2 linked regions of the Notamacropus eugenii genome follow. The protein of the gene in region 2 interacts with the protein of the main gene of each other region in a biochemical or structural test. Links are inferred from orthologs where the notes say so. Each region holds a gene or a part of one and is shown on either strand. Other genes may lie near its edges.

Region 1 (10,478 bases), on a different chromosome or scaffold from region 2:
TTTGCCTGAGATACAGAACAGGGCACTCACAGATGGCTAGGAGTGAGTGCCACTGATAAATGTGACTTAGGTCACAATTATATGACCCAAATGGCATTTCTGCTGCTAATGATTTCTAAAAAATGATTGGCTGTGCTATAATCTCCATCTCAGCAGGAAAAGCCAATTTCTTAAGGTCAAATCTCTCCATGTTTTGGTATCCAGCTGCTCAGAGACCACTTCAATTGAAAATTAATTTTTTCAACCAGTTCACATTTACTGAGCACCTATGTGCAAAAGATTTCACTGGGCTATCAATATGTAATGTACTATTGTCCACAATGCCATCTTGTGCAAGAGGGCCAAGGCAATTAGCCACCCATGAATTAGAATATACTAGAAGTGCTGCAATCCTCAAGAAATGCCTGAACAATAAAAGCGTAATTGCTAAATTACTCCCTAAAATGTTTGATGATTGTATGCTGTCCCACAACACCTTCTGCAATACATGACTACTGATAGGTAATTTACAATAGCATTTTGTAGTTATGTGTTTAATATCTATTATCTTATTTGATCCTCACAACAACCCTGTGAGGTAGGTAGTGACAAGATTATTATCTCTACCTTACAAATCAGGAAAATGAGGACCAAAAAAAGAGAAGTGACTTGCCCAACATAACACAAAGAGGGAGCAAAAGAGCTTAGAATCCCAAACTTCCCAACTTCTATTTCAGTGTTTTTTCTACTATACATATTGCTTTTCTACAGTTCTTTCTAAAGCTTGTCTTGCAATTTAATCTGAGCATATCTTGTTTTGTATTTGTTTTCTACTTGTGCTCCACAGCACGGTGAATTTAAAAGGTCCTCAATAAATCTTATTAATTTACAATATATCAGTGCTTTGCATAAAGCAGAGTTTCAACAAATATTTGTCAAATTATTTGTTTTAAGTGAAATTTCTAAATGTTTAACTTTGGACATTCCTCTTTATTAAAGATCTCATAACTTTCTTCAACTATATTATGGAAATGGTAACAAAATTACCATCAAATGTTTCATTACAAAGCTGAAACTGTTACAACATCAATACAGGAATCAAGTGTTTATCAAATACACCAAAACAAATATGGGATAATGGAAGGAACACTAGACTAGGAATCAGAAGACCTAGGTTGTAACCTGGTTTTGCCACTAATGAACTGCGTGACCTTGGGCAAAGTACTTAACCACTTGGGGCTTCAGTTTCCTCATTTGTCAAAAGAAGGAGTTTGACTAGATCACCCTCCTCTTCTTTTTCTGCTCTAACATTCTATGATCATGTTAAACTTATCTTTCTCCACACAAATGAAATATTTCAGATTCTTTCCACTTACAAGGGTTGTCAATTAACACAAGGCAGGAGACCCTTGCTGTCTCTACAAGTACCAAAAGGAAAACACTCCCCACCAAATCTGTAGACTGGTAAAACACTATTCTTTGATTCTCAGGTCTCCAACACAGAAGTAAATCAATACAAAGTCCACTCACTCACTCATTCAATAAATAAATAAATGCAGTAAAATTAATTCATGCTAGAATAAAGTAACCACAGATATGCAATCTGGCTCAGAGCCTGTAACCTCCAACAACAAAGTTCTCCCTTGAAAGGAATGTGCTTTTAAAAGTCTGATATGCCTTTATAATTTAAGGATTGCATAAGCTCCTTTCCTGAGTACCAGGTGTCTGGACTCTTTAAAAAGTGATATGATCACTAACTTGATTCTCCCACCACAGAAAAAGCCCAAGAACATATTTCAAACCAGAGCAAGGGATGACAATTCAAAGCTACTGAAAATCAAACAGGAACATGGTCTTTTAAGTGACATCCTAACCTTTTCCCTCAGCTGAATTTCTTAGAATTGGAACTGAGCTATTCTTACACATTGTTTCAGGTCAGATACAGTTTCCCACCCAACCAGACTACAGGTGAACTCCTGTAGAAGGGCCTGTGGATCCAAGTGAACTTGAAATACTTCCTGCAGGGAGAAGCACAGAACCTTATTGTGCAGCCCCCCCCCCCCCCAAAAAAAAAAGCTAATCTCCACAATAAAAACCCTTTGTAAAAATATTTTAGATTTGGGCTGAATGAAACCGCTGAAGTATTGATGTATTTACTCTTTTTTCTTCAGAAGTTAAAGTTTTACTGACTCCCTCTAACACTGGTTTTGAGACTGCATATTCCTAAGGTTTCCTGGGGGGGGAGGGGCAGAGGGGGTGAGACGGCAGGCTGGGAGTGGGACTCCTAAAGAAAAAAATCACGCTAGGTGAGGTTTAGTCCGTGGCTACAAAGTTAGGTTTGTTACCTGTTGTCTTGGAAGGTTACAGAAGCAAGGGGCAACCCCTGAATTCTGAGGTCAAACCACATCTAGTACTACACGTTGTACAGAAAAACAACAGTATTTCTGCTCCAATTTGGGGTTATTTCTATGCCACAATCTCTTAATATCCCTCCTTTAGGTCTAATTCTGGGATTCTAACAATCATTCTACAAATCTCCAACTTGCCTCACATTAGGTATCCTCTTCTCACTTGTCTTCTTCAATCCTCCCCCACACACACACCTATGGGACTGACTCCAATTGGACACCGGCTCTACTCTATCCTCAGATTTCCTTATTTGGACCCCCTCTTCTTCACATTTCTCTACATTTAAATGCAGATACATTCCACCATCTCTCCCCCTTCACAACTAGAGATTTTCCTCACTCTGGAAATTTTATTTTTGTAGGGGGGGCGCAGAGGACAAGGTTGGGCAGTGGGTGAATTCAAAGCCTTCTGCTCAAATAGCCCTCCACATGTAAATTCCTCTATCCTATTTTACATACACACAACTAGCTATACTTCATAAACTGCTTTGGCCTCTGCCACATTCTCTCCCTTTCTATCCTACATTTTCATACTCACCTCCAGAATCATCATTCAGCCTTCTCACACCACCTACACCTCTATGACATCCTGACCTTACAAACTCGTAAGCAAGTCCTGTGCTGCTCTTTGGCCTCAGCATCCCCGTCTCCTGACACTCCCAAATTTCATTTTCTATCCTTAAACGTTTCCAGGTCTCCTCATCACTCTCAGGCATATGCAGGTGCCCTATTCCGACTTCTCAGGCATGCCCCAGGTCCCCCCCTTTCCTCTCCTCTCAGGCACTTCCTGGTTCCCCCTCCTTTCTCCTCCCTCTCCCTCCCTCCGGTACCCTTCCTTCTCCTCTCAAGCACCCCTACATCTCCTCCCCTTTCTTTCCCTCAGACACCCCCATACCCCCAGGTATCCCCTTCCCTCTTCTCTCAGATACCCCTAGACTCCAGATACCCCCCCCTCCCCCACTCCTCCTCTCCGACACCCCCCAGGTCCCTCCTCCCCTCTCCCCGTCCCTGATACCCCCAGGTCTCCCCTCTTTCCTCTTCTCAGACATTCCCAGGTCTCCCCCTCCTCTCAGACACCCCCAGGTCTTCCCTTCCCTCTCTTTTCAGACACCCCCAGACCCCTAGTACCCTCTCCCCTCTCCTCCTCTCAGACACCCCCAGACCCCCAGGTCTCCCCTCCCTTCTCTTCTCCCCAAACACCCCCAGACCCCAGGTCCCCCCTCCCCTCTCCGCTCAGACACCCCCAGACCCCAGGTTCCCCCTTCCAGACACCTCCAGACCCCAGGTTCTCCCTCCCAGACACCCCCAGACCCCAGGTCCCTCCTCTCTTCCTCTCCCCAGCTCCCCTCCTCCCTCTCTTTCCCTCCCTGGGACTCGCGCTCCCTCCAGCCGGGCCGGGCCTAGCGCGGGGCCCCGACCTCCCCTGCGGCCACCGAGCTCCCTACAATGGGCCCGGCTCCTGGGCCGGCGGGCTCCGCTCCGGGTCCGGGCCTGCCCCGCGCCCCGCGGCCCCTGCCCGGCCTCCCCCCTCAGGAATGCGCGGCCCCGGCCCGGCCCGGCCTGGCTCCCCACTCACCCGCGCGGCGGCGGCGGCGGGTCCCGGTCCCGGGGCGGGCGGGCGGCCCGGCCCATGCGGCTCAGAGGAGACCAGGCGGGCGGGACGGGGCGGGGGCGCGGCCCCGGGCGCTCCCCATGGCGGCGGCGGCTGCCTCCGGGACGGGGAAGGAGGCCCGTGGAGCGAGGTCAGCGGGCTGGGGCGCGGAGCCGGAGCCGAGCCCGAGCAGAGCCCGGGCTGCGCCGACCGCCCGGCCCGGCCCGGCCCGCTCCTGCCCCGCCCGCGCTCTGGCTTCTGCCTCCGCCGCCTCCGCTCCCCGTGCCAGGCCCGTACTCCGGGCCCCTCCTCCGGCGCTCCGGCTGCGGCCCCGGCCCCGGCCCCGCGGAGGCGGCCCCTGCCCGCTGTGGCTGCTCCTGCCGCGGTTCCTGCCGCCCGAGCCGGGAGCCCGAGCCCCCGAGCCCAGCGAGCTTCAGCTCGAGCCCAGAGCGCCACCCTCGGCGCCGCCGAGAATTGCGGGGGAGGCCCCGGGCGGGGGCGGGGGCCGGGGCGGGGCCCCGAGAGGGGACGCGCACTGGGGGCGGGGCAAGTGTGCGGCGGGGGAGGGAGGGAGAGACGAGGGAGGAGCTCCAGTAGTGGGAGGAGGGGCTGAAGGAACGCGGCGGGAGGTGGAAGGAAGGGGAAAAGGAGAGGGAGTGCGGCTGTGCAGAAGAGACGAGCTTCTGCAAAGCTCCAGCGAGCCTGGTAACCTGGGCAGGGTCCCTTCAGGTCACCGCTCCTCCGTCTGCTCAGCTGTGAAATGCACCTCAATGGTCTCTTCCACTACGAGTCCTAATATGAGGGAAAGGGAAAGAGAAGGTGAAGGAGGGAAAGAAAGAAAAGGGGGGGAGATGAGAGGGAAAGGGAAGGAGAAGGTGAAGGAGGGAAAGAAAGAAAAGGGGGGAGATGAGAAGGAAAGGAAGACACTGGAGGGAAGGCAGAGGAGGAGAAGGGCGGCAAGGAAAGATGGCCAGGAACGTTAGCAGAGGCCCGGAGATGAACTGGAAAGGTGGAGAGAAGAAAGGGCATCCATCCTAAGCTTCCTCTTCTCTCCTCCATACCCCGAAATCCCTTTTCTTCTTTATCCCCCGTTATCTTTTCTTTTGTCCCAGTTGCAGATAACCCTGCAACTTGTAGTCTTGTCACCATATCCTCCAGAAGTGACTGCTCCCTCTCCCTCGCACCTTCAGTATCTCCTTATCCACTGAGTTGTTCCTACTAAAAGATCCAGGTTTCACACATCCTAAAAACAGAACAAAATAAACAAAACCACACACACACAAACCTTCATTTGATAACTACTTCCCCTCAAGCTATCCATCCATACCTATTAAGCTACAGACCAACTTCTCTTCTCCTTTTCCAAGATAAACTCCCTATATCCATTTCCTCCCTTCCCACTCAGTTCTGAGTACCTTGCATTTCTACTTCTGACCCCAGCCCTCAATAAACTGCTCTTACCAAGGATATCTACTAGATCTAGGGCCTTTTCTCAGTCCTCATTCTACTTGATCTCTCTGAAGCTTTGGACCTGACAATCCCTTTCTTCCCCTTTCCTTCTCTCCTCCCTTGAATTACCTGGGATCATAGAATTAGAGCTGGAAAGGAACTGAGCAGGCAGCTAGTCCTGAGTGGGCAGCTAGTCCAGCTTTATTTTAGAGAAGAGGAAATAGCCACACAGAGAAGGTAAGTGACTTGCCCAGGGTGGAAGTCATCAAGTATCTAAAGTAGGGTTAGAACCCAGGTCTTTCTGATGCCAAATTGAGTACGCTATCCACTATGCCACTGGCTCCTGACACAGTTTTCTTTTAGTTCTCCTTCTAGAATTCTAAATAGTTCATTTCAAACTCTTTTGCTAGATCATCATCACCTTCTTTGCCCATTAAGTGGGCTCTGTTCTTTCTATCTATTTAATGTCCTGATCAACTCCCATGGGATCAATTATCATCTTGTTGCAGTTTCTCAAATCTATGTATCTAGAATTGATGTCTCTTCCAGGTTCCAATGCTACATATTCTGTTATCTACAGGACATCTCTACCTAAAACGAGATGCTCATTTTCCTAAAATACATCCCTCTAAACTTCCCTGTCACTTCAGTCATCCAAGACTGATACCACTGGTATGATCCTTGAGTCCTCCCTCTCCCTCAATCCCCATACCCTATCAGTTGTTAATACTGCCTTCATAACATCTCTGCCATCAGTCCCCTTCTCACACTTCACAAGATCATCACCCTAATTCAGATTCTCATTACCCCTCACGTGGACTATGGCAAAAGCCTCCTAATTGATCTCAAAGCTTCCAAACTCTCCCCTCTCAAATCCATCCTCAACAGAGTTGTCAAACCAAAATTCCTAAAATAAAGGCCATGGCTCACATATCTCTTCTCAAAAATCTTTAACAACTCTCTTGCCTCTAAGAGAAACACAAACTTCCTCAGCATGGAATCTTAAGACATCTACAGACTTAGTGCAGAGTGAGGAAGGAACCATCTGAAGTCCTCCCAAATTCCCCTCGAAACAACTAGAAAACCACCTCAGAATTGACCCAGGAGCAGGAAAGAAGCTTACCAGCACAGCAGGAAAGGTCTGTCTCACTGGGGTGGGAGCGGAGCGAGGTCTAAGAACAGTAGCAGCAGCAGCCAGCCTCACAGAAGGAGACCTGCAGCAAATCTACCTAGGAGGCTCCACCCTCCTGCAAGTCAGCAGCCCCCCAGGCAAGTTAAGCAGTCTATACTGAGAAGCACAGCCCTATCCCCCAAAGCACAAGCCACCAGCCAGGCCTTGACCCCATTGCTGACCAGTACTGAAGCCCTACCCTGGGGCTGCCTAACACTGAGACCCTGTCCCAGGGGCCTACCAGCAGAGAGACCCTGTTTCAATAGCAACCCAGCAATAGGACCCCACCCCTGGGGCAGGCCAGCAGCTAAATTCCACACTTGGTCAACAAGGAAGGCCTACCTCCTAGTGAAAGCCATAAGGGAAGCCTACGTTCCAGGAAAGACAAGCATCTTCTAAGCCCTGAAGCCCAGTGAAAGCCAAGAGTAAAACCTAGAGCCCTAGTGCAAAAACCTTGGGACAGTGCAGAACCAGAGGACAACTCTCACATAAAAACACCAAGTCACAGAAAAAGTGTGGTGAGGGGTGGGGTGGGGAGAGGCAACAAGAAAAAATGAGTTAAAAACAAAAAAGAGCTTGAAAATAGAAAAGTATTATGGTGATAGGAATGATCAAGACATAAACTTAGAAAAGGACATAGTGTCAAAATCGCTATGTGTGAAGACTCAAAGGAAAATGTAATTTGGTCTCAGGCCCGAAGAGAATTCCTGGAAAAGTTTAAAAGAGATTTTTAAAAAGCAAATTAGAGAAGCAGAAGAAAAATTGGGGAAAGGAATGAGAGTAATGCAAAAGAATCATGAAAAGAAGAGTCAATAGAATGGGAAAAAATATACAAAAATTTACTGAGGAAAATAACTCCCTAAGGAACAGAATTGGTCAAATGGAAAAGGAAGTACAAAAGTTCACTGAAGAAAAAAATTCCTTAAAAATTAGAACTGAACAAGTTGAAACTAATGATTCTATGAGACATCAAGATACAATAACACAAAATCAAAAAAGTAAAAGAAAAATAGAAGAAAATGTATAATTTCTCACTGGAAAAACAAATGACCTAGAAAATAGATCCAGGAGAGATAATATAAAAATTACTAGATCAACTGAAAGCCATGATCAAAAAAAAAAGCCAGGACAACATCTTTCAAGAATTTATCAAACAAAACTGCCCTAGACCAACCAGAGAGCAAAACAAAAATTGAAAGAATCCACCAATGATTGCCTGAAAGAGATCCCAAAATGAAAATTCCCAGGAACATCATAGTCAAATACTTGAGTTCACAGATCAAGGGGAAAGTATTGCAAGCAGCCATAAAGAAACAATACAAATATTGTGGAGCTACAGTCAGAATTACATAGGATTTGGTGGCTTTCACATTAAAGAACTGGAGGGCTTAGAATATGATATACCAGAAGGCAAAGTACTTAGGATTATAACCAATAATCACCTACCCAGCAAAATTGAATATAATCTTTCCAGGGGAAAAATGGATATTAAAAAAAATAGAGGACTTTCAAGCATTTCTAATTAAAATATGAGAGCTGAATAAAAAATTTAACCTCCAAATACAAGACTCAAGGGAAACATAAAAAGGTAAACAAGAAAGAGAAAACAAAAGAAATTCACTAAGGTTAAGCTGTTTATTTTTCTATATGTCAAGATAATATTTGTAACTCTTAATATCTTTAAGTAAGGAGCATATGTAGAGAGAGGGGGTGGATAGAAGGTGATTTTGATGGGATGATACTCCCCCAAAAGAAAACAAAATAAAGGAGTGAGAAAGAAAATTGCACTGGAAGAAGGAAGGAGGAGACTGAATGGGATAAATTATCTCCCATAAAAGAGGCATGAAAGAGCTATTATAATGGAGGGGTAGATTGGGGTAGGGGTGGGGAGGTAGGGGGGGAGGAAAAAGAATGGCCAGCAAAGCTTAAACCTTACGCTCATCAAAACTGGCTCAAAAAGGGAATAACACGCATTTAGTTGGATATAGAAATCTATCTTACCCTATAAGGAAGTAAAAAGGGACAGAGATAATAGAAGGGGGAGGGGAGGACTGATAAAAAAGGGGGTATATTGGGGTGGTGATCAGAAATAAAACACTTGTGAAGAGGGAAGGGTGAAGTGTAAAAGAGAGATGGGAATTAACAAGTGAAAAATAGCATGGATGGAAATATACAGTTAGTCATCATAACTATAAATGCGAATGGGATGAACTCTCCCGTAAAATGAAAGTGGATAGTAGAATGAATTAAAAATCAGAATCCTACAATATGTTATTTACAAGAAACACATATGAAGCAGACAGATATACACAGGGTAAAAGTAAGGAATTGGAGCAGAATCTATTCTGCTTCAGCTGAAGCAAAGAAAGCAGAAGTAGCAATCATGATCTCAGAAAAACACAAAATCAAAAATAGGTATAATTAAAAGAGATAAAAAAGGAAACTATATCTTACTGAAAGGTACCACAGACAATGAAGTCATATTAATATTAAATATATACACCAAATGGTATAGCATCTAAATTTTTGAAGAAGTTGAATGAGTTACAGGAGGAAATAGATAATAAAACTATACTAAGTGGGGGACCTCAACTTTCCCATCTCAGAACTAAATAAATCTAACCAAAAAATAAACAAGAAAAGTTAAGGAGGTGAATAAAATTCTGGAAAAGTTAGATATGATAGATCTCTGGAGAATGGAAATAGAAAGGAAAATACCTTTTTCTCAGCAATACATGGCACCTACACAACAATTGACCATGTATTAGGACATAAAAACATCACAACTGAATGCAGAAAGGCAGAAATAGTAAATACATCCTTTTCGGATAATAATGCAATAAAAATTACATTCAATAATGGAAAATGGAAAGAGAGATTAAAAATTGACTGGAAATTAAATAATCTAATCCTAAAAAATAAGTGGGTCAAAGAACAAATCATAGAAACAATCAATAATTTCATTAAAGAAAATGACAACAGTGAGACAACATACTAAAATTTATGGGATTCAGTCAAAGTGGTACTTAGGGGAAATTTTATATCTCTAATTGCTTACATAAATAAAATACAGAAAAGGCAGATCAGTGAATTGGGCATGCAATGAAAAAAAACTAGGAAAAGAAAAATTAAAAATCCCCCATTAAACACCAAATTGGAAATTCTGAAAATCAAAGGAGACATTAATAAAATTGACAATACAAAAACCATCAAACTCATAAATAAAACTAGAGTCTAATTTTATAGGAAAAAACCCAATAAAATAAACAGCTGGTTCATTTGATTTTTAAAAAAAAAGGAAAGAAGAAAACCAAATTACTAGTATTGAAAATATAAAGGGTAAATTCATCACCAATGAAGAGGAGATTAAAACAATTGTTAGGAGCTAATTTGCTCAATTATATGCCAATAAATTTGACAATCTAAATGAAATGGATCAATGGGTACAAAAATATACATTACCAAAGTTAAGAGAAGTAAAATACTTAAATAACCCAATCTTAGAAAAAGAAATTGAACAAGCTATCAATGAATTTTCTAAGAAAAAATCTCCAGTACCAGAAGGACATACTAAACATTTAAAGAACAATTTCTCTGAACACTATATAAAATATTTGAAAAATCAGGCAAAGAAGGAATTCTGCCAAATTCCTTTTATGACACAAATATGGTACTGACACTCAAACCAAGAAAAGTCAAAACAGAGAAAGAAAATTATAGACCAATTTCTCTAATGAATATTGATGTAAAATGTTAAATAAAATACTAGGCAAAGAGATTACAGAAATATATCATAAGGAACATACACTATGACCAGGTGGGATTTATGCCAGGAATTCAGGGCTGGTTCAATATTAAGAAAACTATCAGCACAACTGAC
Region 2 (11,154 bases):
AATGCAAATAATAATAGCTATGGTTCTTACTGTTATTCTGCAGGCCTTGGAGATCCCAGGCCCTGGGCTCCACCCACTGTGTCCAGCTGGCTTTATGCCACGTTGCCTCCAGTAGATCTCTTATACTTCAAAATAGATCAGACGTGCGCTTAAACCCAGAGGACAGAAATAGGAATAAGCAGACAGAAGCTACAGAAGTAGATTCTGGTTCAGTGTACCAAAAACCTCCCCAGGAAGGACTGGGTTGTCCATAAGTGGGCTGAGCACCTTAGGCTGACATTCTTGTCACAGCTGTTACAAACTGCTGGGGCAGGGGCTGGACTCCATGGCCTTTGCCAGTCATTTCAATTCAGTTGGTAAACATTTAAAACCTCAATCTCGTGCTCACATGATGACCAAAAGGCCAACAAGTCTATGGACATCTCCAAGCCTGGCACTGAAAACATCATTCATCTGCTCTGCTACTAAACCACTGAACTCCTATGACCAGCAGGCTGGATGCAGTGGAGAAAAGGAAGGGGTTTAAAGGAAGGTTATGGAAACAAATAATAAAAGTTATTGCAAAATGAGGATACCACCCATCCCGAGGGAACTTTATAGACTGCAACTTCCCATCTAAATGTACTCATTTATTTCTATCCTTCTCTCCTGGCTCTAATCTAATCACCACCTGATTTATTCACTGACCTACCAAGCAATTCTCCTATTAGGCCATCTTGAGTAATTTGTACCAATCTGGCTTCCAACCTCCTCACTGCCCTTTCCAAAGTCACCAATAAACAAAGGCCAGTCCTCCTGCTTCTGGCCTTTTCCGAAGCCCTCCGCACTGCTGATCAACTGCACTGCTGATCAACTTTTCGTCGGGTTACTCTCTCCTCTCTAGTCTTGATTCTCCTCCCTATTTCCGTGGTACAATAGCCCCTGTCTCTGCTGAATCATCATCGGTGCCATCTGCCTTAACTGGGAATATTCCCCAAGGCCCTCTTCTTCCTCCATCTCTTCTACTCCCCCAGGTAAAGTCTAGAATGCTTCAGGGCTTAATTATCTTCTCTATGCAAATAATGCTGATGCCTATTTACCTGACTGGCCTTGGCCATGGTCACTTTAATGCGGAGGCCCCAGTTTCCTGTGACTGGACAGTTGATCAATCAGATCTTTTCAGGTCTCTTTCTGGCTCCGGATTTAGGAAACCGTGACTCCTACCAGTTCCTCTCCAGCTAGCCCTAGTCTCTCTCATGAGTTCTGGAAAAAGGCAATAGGTTATCCTGAGAGGGGGCAAGACTGTTCACCTGACTGATCCTTCACCTGGAAGACGGTCATCTACCCAAGGGCCAGTGTGGCTTCAGAAAGGACCAAAGCTTGGCAGACATGGTATCTGCTGCCCAGAAGAAAAGCCAGGGGCAGAAGAGAGAAGCCTAGAAACAATGTGCATTTGACCTAACCAAGACCTTTGATACTGTCAGTTGTGAGGGTCCAGGAAGGATCATGGAGAAATCTGGTTGCCAGAAGTTCATCAGTATTGTACATCAATTTCATAATGGCAGGCTTGCCAAGGTTCTGGATAATGGACAATGCTCTCATGGAACCATCAGTTACAGCAAATGGAGAAATTTAGAATGCTGGAGATTAATTCAATTACTTTGGCAGTCTACTTTCCAGGGATGTCCACATGAATGAAGCTGAGGCATCCATTGCCAGAGCTAACTCAGAGACTGGGAGAGTCCAAAAGAAAATGTGAGAGAAGAGAGGTATTCAAACTGCCTACCAAACTGACAGCCTACAGAGCCATGTGCTGACCTCACTGTTGTATGCCCATGAAACCTGGACAGTCTATCAGGGCCAAGCCAGGAGACAGATTCATTTCCATTTGAATTGTCTTAGGAAGATTCCGAAGATCACACGCTCTCCTTTGCAAGATGTTCAGTAGATGGTCTGGGTCCCAGCCTCTACCCTCTTATTACTTAAAGGCTTTACCTCCCCAGGCACTTTCAGCTTCTTGGATCCATCTTAACTCCTATACCCTCCACATAGCTTCCTTCATTCCCCTTGTCACTCACAGAGGTGGTCAGACCTCAAAGTGCTCTCACTGTCATCCAGAAACACTTCTAGGATCTGGAAAGCTGACATCCCTCTCCTGACTGGCATCAAACACTTGCTCTGCCTCATCTCTCCTGAACTGTCTTCACCACAGTCTATCGCCCCTCCCTCCTCCTTCTCAGTCTATAGTTCATCATAACAAGACACAGTGTTCACACCTCACTTCCACCATGGCCTCCTGTTCTGGCTCCTAGAGCTGCTGAACACTGCCTAGGGAAGTCAACAAAAGCTGCCAGATGCAACACAGAGTCACAGTATCTTATCTCAACCTCCCCATCCTCATACTGCTCTCTGACAGACTCTACCTCACTCCTGCACTTCCCAACCTTTCCCTAAAACTCCAAAATCACTCCCATTGGTAGTTACCATCGCTACAATGTCACACACATACACCCATCCTTATCTGTCTCCTGAACAAACTCCTGTGGGATATTTCCACAAGACTGTTCTGTCAGCATCTCCCCTCTAGAACCCAACTTCAGCACACTTTCCCCATCCTCTAAGGGCACTACCATCCAAACTCCTAGTCACAAAGGTAAATGACCTCGGTAGTTCCTGACCCTCCCCACTGCCTCACTGTCCGTAATCAATGACTTGTCATATCTTGTCTCTACAATCTCTTTCTCTCACTCCGATTTCCATTACCCCAGTTCTGACTCTCATCACGGCTGACCTGGGCTACTCTCAGATCCTCCCAATCCATTTCCCATCTTCCACAAAACTGCCCAGGTCTGTCCATGTAACTACCATGCTCCAAAACCATCAGGGAGTGGCTCCTGCCTGTTAATGCAGCCCGGTATGTGAGAACTTACACTCAGGTTTGGTCCGCAGGGAGCTGCCAAGAATGGAAGGTGAGTCAATTCTTACTTCAGCCCTCCATCGAGCCAGCCCCAGACCACACACCCCAACATTGCTTCATCCCAGGGCCTCGCCACATGGGCACCTTGCCGCCTTCTCTGCCACTGTGTGCCTATCCCCACTAGCAACAACAGCCCTTACACCCCACACCCCCTCCCCTCCAATACTGTGGGCTGAGTGGATGCTCAGCCCCCATCCAGCCAAACCCCAAACCAAGCATTACGCTCTCCAGGCATTTGTCCTACTACAGCCCCCCAGACGCCTGCCCTTCCGTCTCACCTTTCTCAGGGAACAAGAGTCAAATCCGCATCTCTCCTGCTTCAGTCCCCTCACAACCCGCTGGGCTTCCCGCTGGCAGGCACCCTCCCCTTTTCTCTCTGCAGCCCCAGGCCCCCAGCAGGGTGCCAGCCCCTTCCCTAGCCGTGGGAACCCTGGTCTACACCACGTCCTCCACGCTTCTGGCACTGAGCAGGAAAGAGTGCACTGGCACGGCAGACTGCCCCGGCGGGGTAACCTCAGCAAGCGCCCAAGAAGCGCTCAGAGAAGCGGCGGCACAGCAGGGGTGCAGGAGCGCGCTGACACCCACCCGGCGGCGCTCCAGGACCGACCTGGGAGGGGGTCCGCAAGCCTCTGCAAGGGCTGCCCAAGCCCCCAGCTTCGGGGCATCCCCGCTCCCGGCCGCGGGAGCCCCCCCACGTGGCTACAACCCAGGGAGCGGAGGCCGCAGCGGCACCGGGGAGGTTCCGATCCGCCCGGCCCGTGACCTCAATAGGCGCCTCTGTCTACGCCGCCGGCCCGCCCGCCCCTCCCCCTCCTCCTCCTCACCGGCCGCGAAGTGCAGCGGGGACGACTTGCGGCCGGCCAGGTCCTTGGCGTTCACGTTGGCCGCGTCCACGAGCCTCCGCACCCGGGCCACGTCCCCGTTGCGGCAGGCCTCCAGCAGCTCGCGCAGGGCGCCGCTCACGGCCGGCCCCGGGCCCGGGCCCGCCTCCGGGGGGCTGTCCGAGGGGCTGGGCCCCAGCGAGCCGGGGGACGACGAGGCCGAGGAGGCCGAGGAGGACGAGGACGAGGACGACGAGGAGGCCGACGAGGAGCACGAGGACACCGAGGCGGCAGAGGCGGCGGCGGCGGCCGGGCAGGACGCGGGGCAGGGGCAGGGCCCGGGCCCCGGAGCAGAGGCCGAGGCCGGGCCGGCGCTGTCGGCGGGCTCGGGGGAGCGCGGCCGCTCAGGCCCCGGCCCGCCCCCGCCGCCGCCCCCGGGCCCGGGCCCGTCCGCGTCGGGAGGCGCCGAGAGGCCTCCGTGGCGCGGGGAGGCCGCGGGGGACGCGGGCCCGGGGCTCAGCGAGGGCGGCGGCGGCGGCGGGGGGGCCGCTCCGGCGGGGCCCGGCGGCAGCAGCGGCAGCGGCAGCGGCGGCGGCAGCGGTGGTGGCGGCGGCGGCGGCGGGTGGTGGCCCCCGTGGTGGTTGTGGTGGTGATGCTGAGAGCGACGCGACGCCGCCATCTCCCCACTCCCTCCGCACGGTCACTGCGGCAACCGGGCCAGCGCCCACCCCCACTTCCGCCCGCCCGGGGCCAATCAGCGGCCGCGGCCGCGGAAGCGAGGACGCCGAGGGAAGCAACGGCCGCGGCCGCGAGAGCTGACGGGAAGGAGAGGGCGGGGCCCTCCGGGAAACGGGCGAATGGAGAGAGCTGCCTCTCCGGGGAGGCGGGCTTTGGGCCCTAAGGGGCGGGGAAGGAGGAGAAGGGCGAGGACCCCCTCCTCGAGGATGGGAGCGGTTTAGGGGGCGGGGCTGAACCAGGAGGGACGAGCCATCCGTGAAGGGGCGAATGGAGAGCCACCTCCCCAAGGATGGGAGAGATTGGGGGGGCGGAGCTTAAATCTGGGAGAAGTCGTCCCAGGAGGAACGAATGAGGAGAGTCTTCTCACCGGGGAGGCGGGACTTAAGCCTGGGAGGCGGAGCCAAGGAGGAATGAGCGAAAGAGGAGAACCGCTTCTCAGAGGAGGAGAGGCGGAGCTTAATCCTGAGAGAGGAGCCATACAGGGAGGGCCGTCTCTCTGAGGAGGCGGGTCTTAACGCTGGAGGGCGGGGCCCCAGGGGAATGAGTGAATGGCCTCTCGGAGGGAGGGGGCGGAGCTTAAACCTGAGGGCGGAGCCGTCCAAGCCGGGCCGAATGGAGAAGGCTACCTCTCTGGGGAGGCGGGGTTTAACCCTGGAGGGGTTAACCCTGGAGGACAGAAAGGAGACGGGCCGCCTCCTGGAGGATGGGAGGGGCCAAGAGGCGGGGCTTTGGGGGGAGGAGCGTTCCAGGGGCGGGGCCAGAGGATCACCTCCTTCCTTGCCCCGACGTCGCCCAACGGCGTCGGCCCGGCTCCGGGCAGGTGGTCCCCACCGGGCTCCGGGAGCTCCCACTCTCCCCGGACGGCTTCCTCTTTTGCGCCCTTCCCCTTGACCTTGAGCTCCCTGGGCTGGCCGCGGTCCTGGCTCCTGCCCGGCGCCCCACCTCGGAGGTCCAGCCCTTGCGGCCCCGGGCCGGGACTGCCCCTGACGCCAACGCTTACGGGAGGGCTTGGGGTGCAGGGAGCTGCAGGAAGCGGGCCGAGAGATCCCCGAGCGCCAGCGACGCCCCCCACTCACTGGGGGTCACGAAAGGCCTGGGGGCAGTGCCAGGCGCGGGGGGGAGGGGGCACCAGGCTTGCGGGAGCGCAGAGAGTGGCAGGGCTTACCCAGGACTGGTCCAGAGAGCCAGAGCCGCACCTGGCGGTGCTAGGAGCCCTCCACGGCTCCGGAGGTTCTGCGCCCCCCAGCCCCGGGCATCCCTCCCTCCTCCCCGCCCTGCGGCTCCCAGTACCCCACACCAGACTTTCCTCGCCCTCTTCTTCGTTCCCTTCCATCTTTGAGAATGGAAGGAGTCTTGAAGGTAAAGAAAAGGCCTTCCTGTCCTCGTTCTGCTCCATCCTGAATCAATGACCCGACCTGGGGCAAGTCAGCGGGAGCTGGGGCGCCCAACGCCCTGTCTAGAGCTTAGCTGCGTATGGTCCGGCCCCCCCCCCCCCCCATTAGGGTATCAGCTCCTCAAGGTCGGGGCTGGCCTTTGCCCTCCTTGGAATTCCCAGGCTCAGCTCAGTGCCGAACGTGCTTGCTGGCTAATTTATACAGAGCAAAGCGCTTTGCCTGCTTCTCATCTGATCCTTCCCACCCCTCGGAGGCAGGTACTGCCCTTCTGCCCTCTTTAGGGATGAGGAAACGAGGGTTCGGACAGCTTGTGGCCGCTCAGACATCGCTAATAAGGATCCGAGACCCGACCTTGCACCCTCTTAAATCTAGGGCTGTAGCCATTACATCATGACAACCCCTCCAGTCAAAAGAGCAGGAGGGAGAAACTGAGGGCCAGAGAGGCTGATCCGAACCGATGCCTCCCAAGACATAAGCTGGAAAGCCAGGATTCAAGCCCAGGTTTTCTGCCTCCAGTAAGGACCTACTATGTGCTTAGATCTAGAAACACGATGTTTTGTGATTCAGTCTGCTCTCAGGAAGCTTACACTCCACTAGGATGCAACAGGTACACAAATATGAACAAAATAAATTTCAGGCAACTTCAGGGAGAGGATGGCATTAGCAGCTGGGAGGCTGGTTTAAATGGTGAATCTGACATAATCCTAGACCAGGCCATCAACTGTCGGAGTCATTCTGCATGATGTGCAAAACAAAGGGCCTTGTATACATGCTTTCTGCATAATCAAACTTTTGTAGAGACAGAGCAGGTCTTTTGCTTCCATTTTGCAAGGAAGAAAACAGGCTAGAGAATGAGTTTTTGTGCTGTACTGGAATGAATGGCCTAAGGTCTATGTGTGTGTACATTTTTGTACATCAGTTCTCTCTCGATCTCAGTCACTAGTTTTATATGTAATGAGAGTCTTCCCAATGAGTGTCTAGTCCTCTGAGCAAGCACAAGATCCCAGACCCTGCTTCATCCCATCATACAGAGTCTTGAGGAGCCACCTTTGGGAGGTAACTAACAAAGAGTCTGAAGGGTTTTCTGGTTGACTGCAAAGCTGGAAGTATTAATGACAGAAAAGGAACTTAACTGGCTTAGGGAAGAATCATCCCTTTCTCATCTTTCCTCTCTTCCCTGGTGACTTTCAAGTGGAACAGAATGTTGGGAGCTTCTGGGTTGAGGAGGAATTGTGTGTGGCTACCTCATCTCCCTCCTGACCACCACGTGCTCCTGAGCACATGGTGTCCCTGCTTCTGTGACCATTAACGCCTTGGCTAATAGTCAATTCATTTCCCTGGAGCTGGTCCTTGCTCTATTCAAAAGCTTCTCATTTACATCCCAGAACAAAATGTTTACCCTAAATGAAATGTAGCTCATTACAAATGACTGTAACTCCCTTTCTTACTCTCATAATACAATGAGGAGTCTGTCTTGCTTTCAGTCCCTACCCGACAGTCCTGTGGGGCAGGCATGCCAGGCCAGACTGCTTTTGGGTTCAGAATGTGGGCAGATTGGAATGGACTCCTGCTTCTTTAGGCACCTTTGAGTAAAGAGGCTGAAAGCAATGCTTCTCTTCCTGCTACTCATGCCCCTGTCAATAACAAAGAAGAATGATCAACCCAGCACATTGTGAGATGAAAAATATGATGTATGAAGAGAACTGGATGCCTAGCATTCCCCGAAAAAGCCAATGGTCCATTTCCCAGATCTGTCTTTCCTCAACATGCTGCCGAAGGTGATGGATAGAGGCTCCTGTCTCTATCTTTGAGCACCCCTCAAAGAACAAGTCCAGTTCTCAAGAAGGAAGGACACACTGTGGTCACATAAGTAAACACAGAATAAATACAATGGGGTTTGGGGAAGGATGGCAGTAGCCATGGGGGATCAGGAAAGGCCAGGTATAGAAGGCAGTGCTTGGACTGAGTCTTGGATGAATCAAGTAGTTTTATGAAACAGAGGAGAGTGGGGGAGGAAACATATGCCAGGCATGGGGGGCAGTCAAGGCAAAGCACAGACATGGGAGATGAGTGAATAAATGCAACTTGTACCATGGGCTAAGTGATGGGAACATAGAAAAGCACAGTGTTGCTGCTAGGAGTAGTGAGAAAACCACTGTTGGTGACAGGAAAACACTGAAGCTTTTTGAGCAGGGTAGGAGTAGAGCGAGAAGGATCTCCTCAGAAGATTATGTAGCAGCCCTGGGGAGAACTGACTAGGAGACACATCTCCTGAAAAAGGAAGGACTCTTCTGGGATTGTTAAATAATGTGAAGTCACCTTAGCCCTGTGCTGCTATTTACATGTCTGGGTGGTCTGTGCCCTGGCTGGCTGGCTCACCAAACCTGCACCCATGCTAGCAGTGTACACTGCATTGACACAACTCCAGACTTTCTCAGAGTCCAGGGACATCCTTGGTGTGTGGGGGGTAGAGTGGGCTGGGGAAGGGTCCACTCTTCCTAGTGGCCACAGTGGGTACTGAATCCACACCAGAGGGCTTCCCACTTTTGCCACATCAAACCTTAAACCTAAAGCATTTACTAAACAAGGCAAAAGCAATAATCATCATATCATCTGTTCAACAGAAGGCATGAAGAAGAATAAGTAAAATATGACAGTCTCCCACCTATGGGTGCAGGCCGACAGAGGGTGGGGAGGGGCAGGACAGGACCTGTACTTACGGAAACCTAACAGGGAAACACATAAGGAAACCCCACAAGTCTGGGACTGCAGGTTGTTACCTGTTCAGGTCCTTGGTCTATGTAGCAACAATCTGCAGTGGTGGATCCATTTCTCCGCTTCTGGTCCTCCATGCTCTCTCGCTAAACAAAGCTGCTCTTGTATTTTCAAGCAAATGAAGCACTCTCCCTGGAGAAAGTGTTGCTTTGTTGTAGTGACAAACCCTCTGTGAACTTCCACTTTCAGGGGTTTCTGCTTCATCCAATAATCTCCAAGCCTTTTCTCACAGAGAAGCCCAGGTCACCACAAGATGCAAAATGCATCTCTCTGTTTCTTGTTCTCCAACCAGAGCCATGAAGGCACCTTGGAGAGGTTTCTCCTTCACCTTTATATGGCACTGCAGCGCAAGAAGCCCATACAGCCCTGCGCCGGTCAGTCAATGACTCCAGCCTTTCCTCAACAAGGCCATCAGAAATGCATTGCCTCTTCTCCAATCCACAGGTTCCCAACACAATATTCAAAGGTTCAGAGGTCAGAGAGGTCAGGAAGGATGAGGACTGAGAAAAAGTCATTAGATTTGCAATGATGAGGTCACTAATCATGAATGATTCAGCCCCCAATTAAAAATAAACTTTCCAAGTCTTTTAGATGCTAAATGAGGTTTTGGATTATATTTTTTAAAAATTATTCAGACTATTGGGTTGAGAGAAAATTGGGTTGCGAGTTAAAGGGGGTTTTAAAAGAAAACACAGACACACAGGTAGAGACCTTCCCTCTCCCAGACTGGAGCTAAATGAACTTGTCTTCCTTGGATATGCACATCTTTCCTTCTCAAGACACTGGGGAGTTTAGTCCAAATTAGTAAACACAAACCGCTGCTGTCTCTCATGATTTTCAGCATTTCTGGTGAAGGACCTGGGTTCTGTTCTGGACATGTGTTTGAGCTGCCTGTGGGATGTTCAGGCAGGGATGTTTGGCTGGCAGTTGGAGATGTGGACTGGGGTTCAGGAGAGACACGTGAGCTGACTATATAGACCTGGCTGTCATCTGCATAAGGATAATGAGATCTCTGTGGAAGAATGTGTGCCAAAGGAGAGAAGAGCCAGGATGGAATCCTTGGGGATAGCACACATAGCAAAGCAGAACAGGGGTGATGCCTGAGGAGTGCTCAAACAAAGTGAGACGAGGGTTTTTCAAAGTCCATTCTGTGATTCCTTCCCCAGGAAGCCATATCTCCCTGTTGCTATGTCCCCCCCTCAATGGGGCCTCCAGAGACCATGCCCAGCAGGAGCCAGGCCCAGTTGGAAGATCCCACTCCATCCAATACCCCCCCCCCCCCCCAATCTCCCCAGACCCAGCTTCTCCTGGGCCATCCTGTTGATCACTTTATTTCATCCCCTCCTTTCCCCTAGGACATCTTGCTCTGGGCACAACAATCAGATCAGCTCTTTCATCCCTCCGGAAGGAGCCTGTCAGTCAGTTGCCCTATGATTCATTCATTCCATTCTTGGGACACCTTAGACCAAAGTCTCCTGTCCTCCCTCATTCCAAAGCAAGCTTTTAAAGCAAGAACTGCTTTTTCTTTTTTTTTTTTTTTTTGGTCTGACTTTGCATCCCTTGATCTTAACATACCCTACCTGGCACATAAGGGCTTCACTGGTGTGTTTGCCTTCATTCAATCAGTCATTCATTCATTCCTCATTTATTCATTCATTAGCTCTCATCTTTTCAAAGGATTCTTTTTCCTGAGCTCTTCCAATGCATCCTTATCCTCCTCCCCCTCCCCCGTTTTCCAGACCAAGATGTTCTAATGCCAGATAACTAGTCATCCAGCCTTGACAGACTGTCACGCTCTATATCGAACAAGTGTTTCAGAGAGAATGAGAGAACTGTCTGCCCTGCTTCCCTTGGGCTATTTAGTGCATTCTCAGACTCCTGACTAATCCCGTGGCCCTTGCCCATCCCTGCCTCGGTCAGCCTTTCAGTCAGCTTAGCCGCTGGGCCTCGGCAGCAGCCAAAACCTCAGACATTCAGTGCCCACTTCCAGATTGCCTTTGGCCCAAGACCTTGTTGCCCTTTAACAAGCAGGGGCATCCTATGGCATTCTGCCCAGAGCTCCAGGCTGGGAACCTGGGGACCCAGACTCTCCTCCTTGACTTTGTGACCTTGGACAAAATCCTGACTGTCTCTGGGCTTCCCTTCCTTCCTCTGGAAAAAGAGAAGTGTGTAATTGTCTGGTTCCATCTGAGAGATATCTTCCTACATCTGTCCTCTTGTTCAATGTAAACAAGATGGGCACCCCCAAAAGAGCCGAGCTGCTTCCCCTCTACGGCAGAGACTTTGTTGGACAACCAGCCCTGACAGACAAAACCAGTGTCTCTAGGTTTGAGTTACAGGAGAAAGCTTTTGTTTGGGCTGGGGGAGGTTAGGGGAAAGTGATCCAAGAACAAAAAGAAGGAAATAAGTATTTACGAGATGCCTCCTATGTGCTAGGGATGTGCACTTTATACGTATTCTCTCATTTGAT

What was found.
Region 1: the proteins of TNKS (region 2) and AXIN1 form a complex in vitro, tested with the Homo sapiens proteins (2 studies listed by BioGRID). The link is inferred for Notamacropus eugenii from reciprocal best matches to the Homo sapiens genes TNKS and AXIN1.

Annotation. Positions count from the first base shown.
Region 1 is NC_092872.1:54,634,879-54,645,356, reverse strand, and holds the start of AXIN1 (axin-1), read right to left. Parts: upstream 4,093-10,478; 5' UTR 3,964-4,092; intron 1-3,963. UniProt on the Homo sapiens protein: Component of the beta-catenin destruction complex required for regulating CTNNB1 levels through phosphorylation and ubiquitination, and modulating Wnt-signaling.
Region 2 is NC_092878.1:168,032,705-168,043,858, forward strand, and holds the start of TNKS (poly [ADP-ribose] polymerase tankyrase-1), read right to left. Parts: upstream 4,492-11,154; 5' UTR 4,457-4,491; coding exon 3,781-4,456; intron 3,605-3,780; exon of another isoform or gene 3,235-3,604; intron 1-3,234.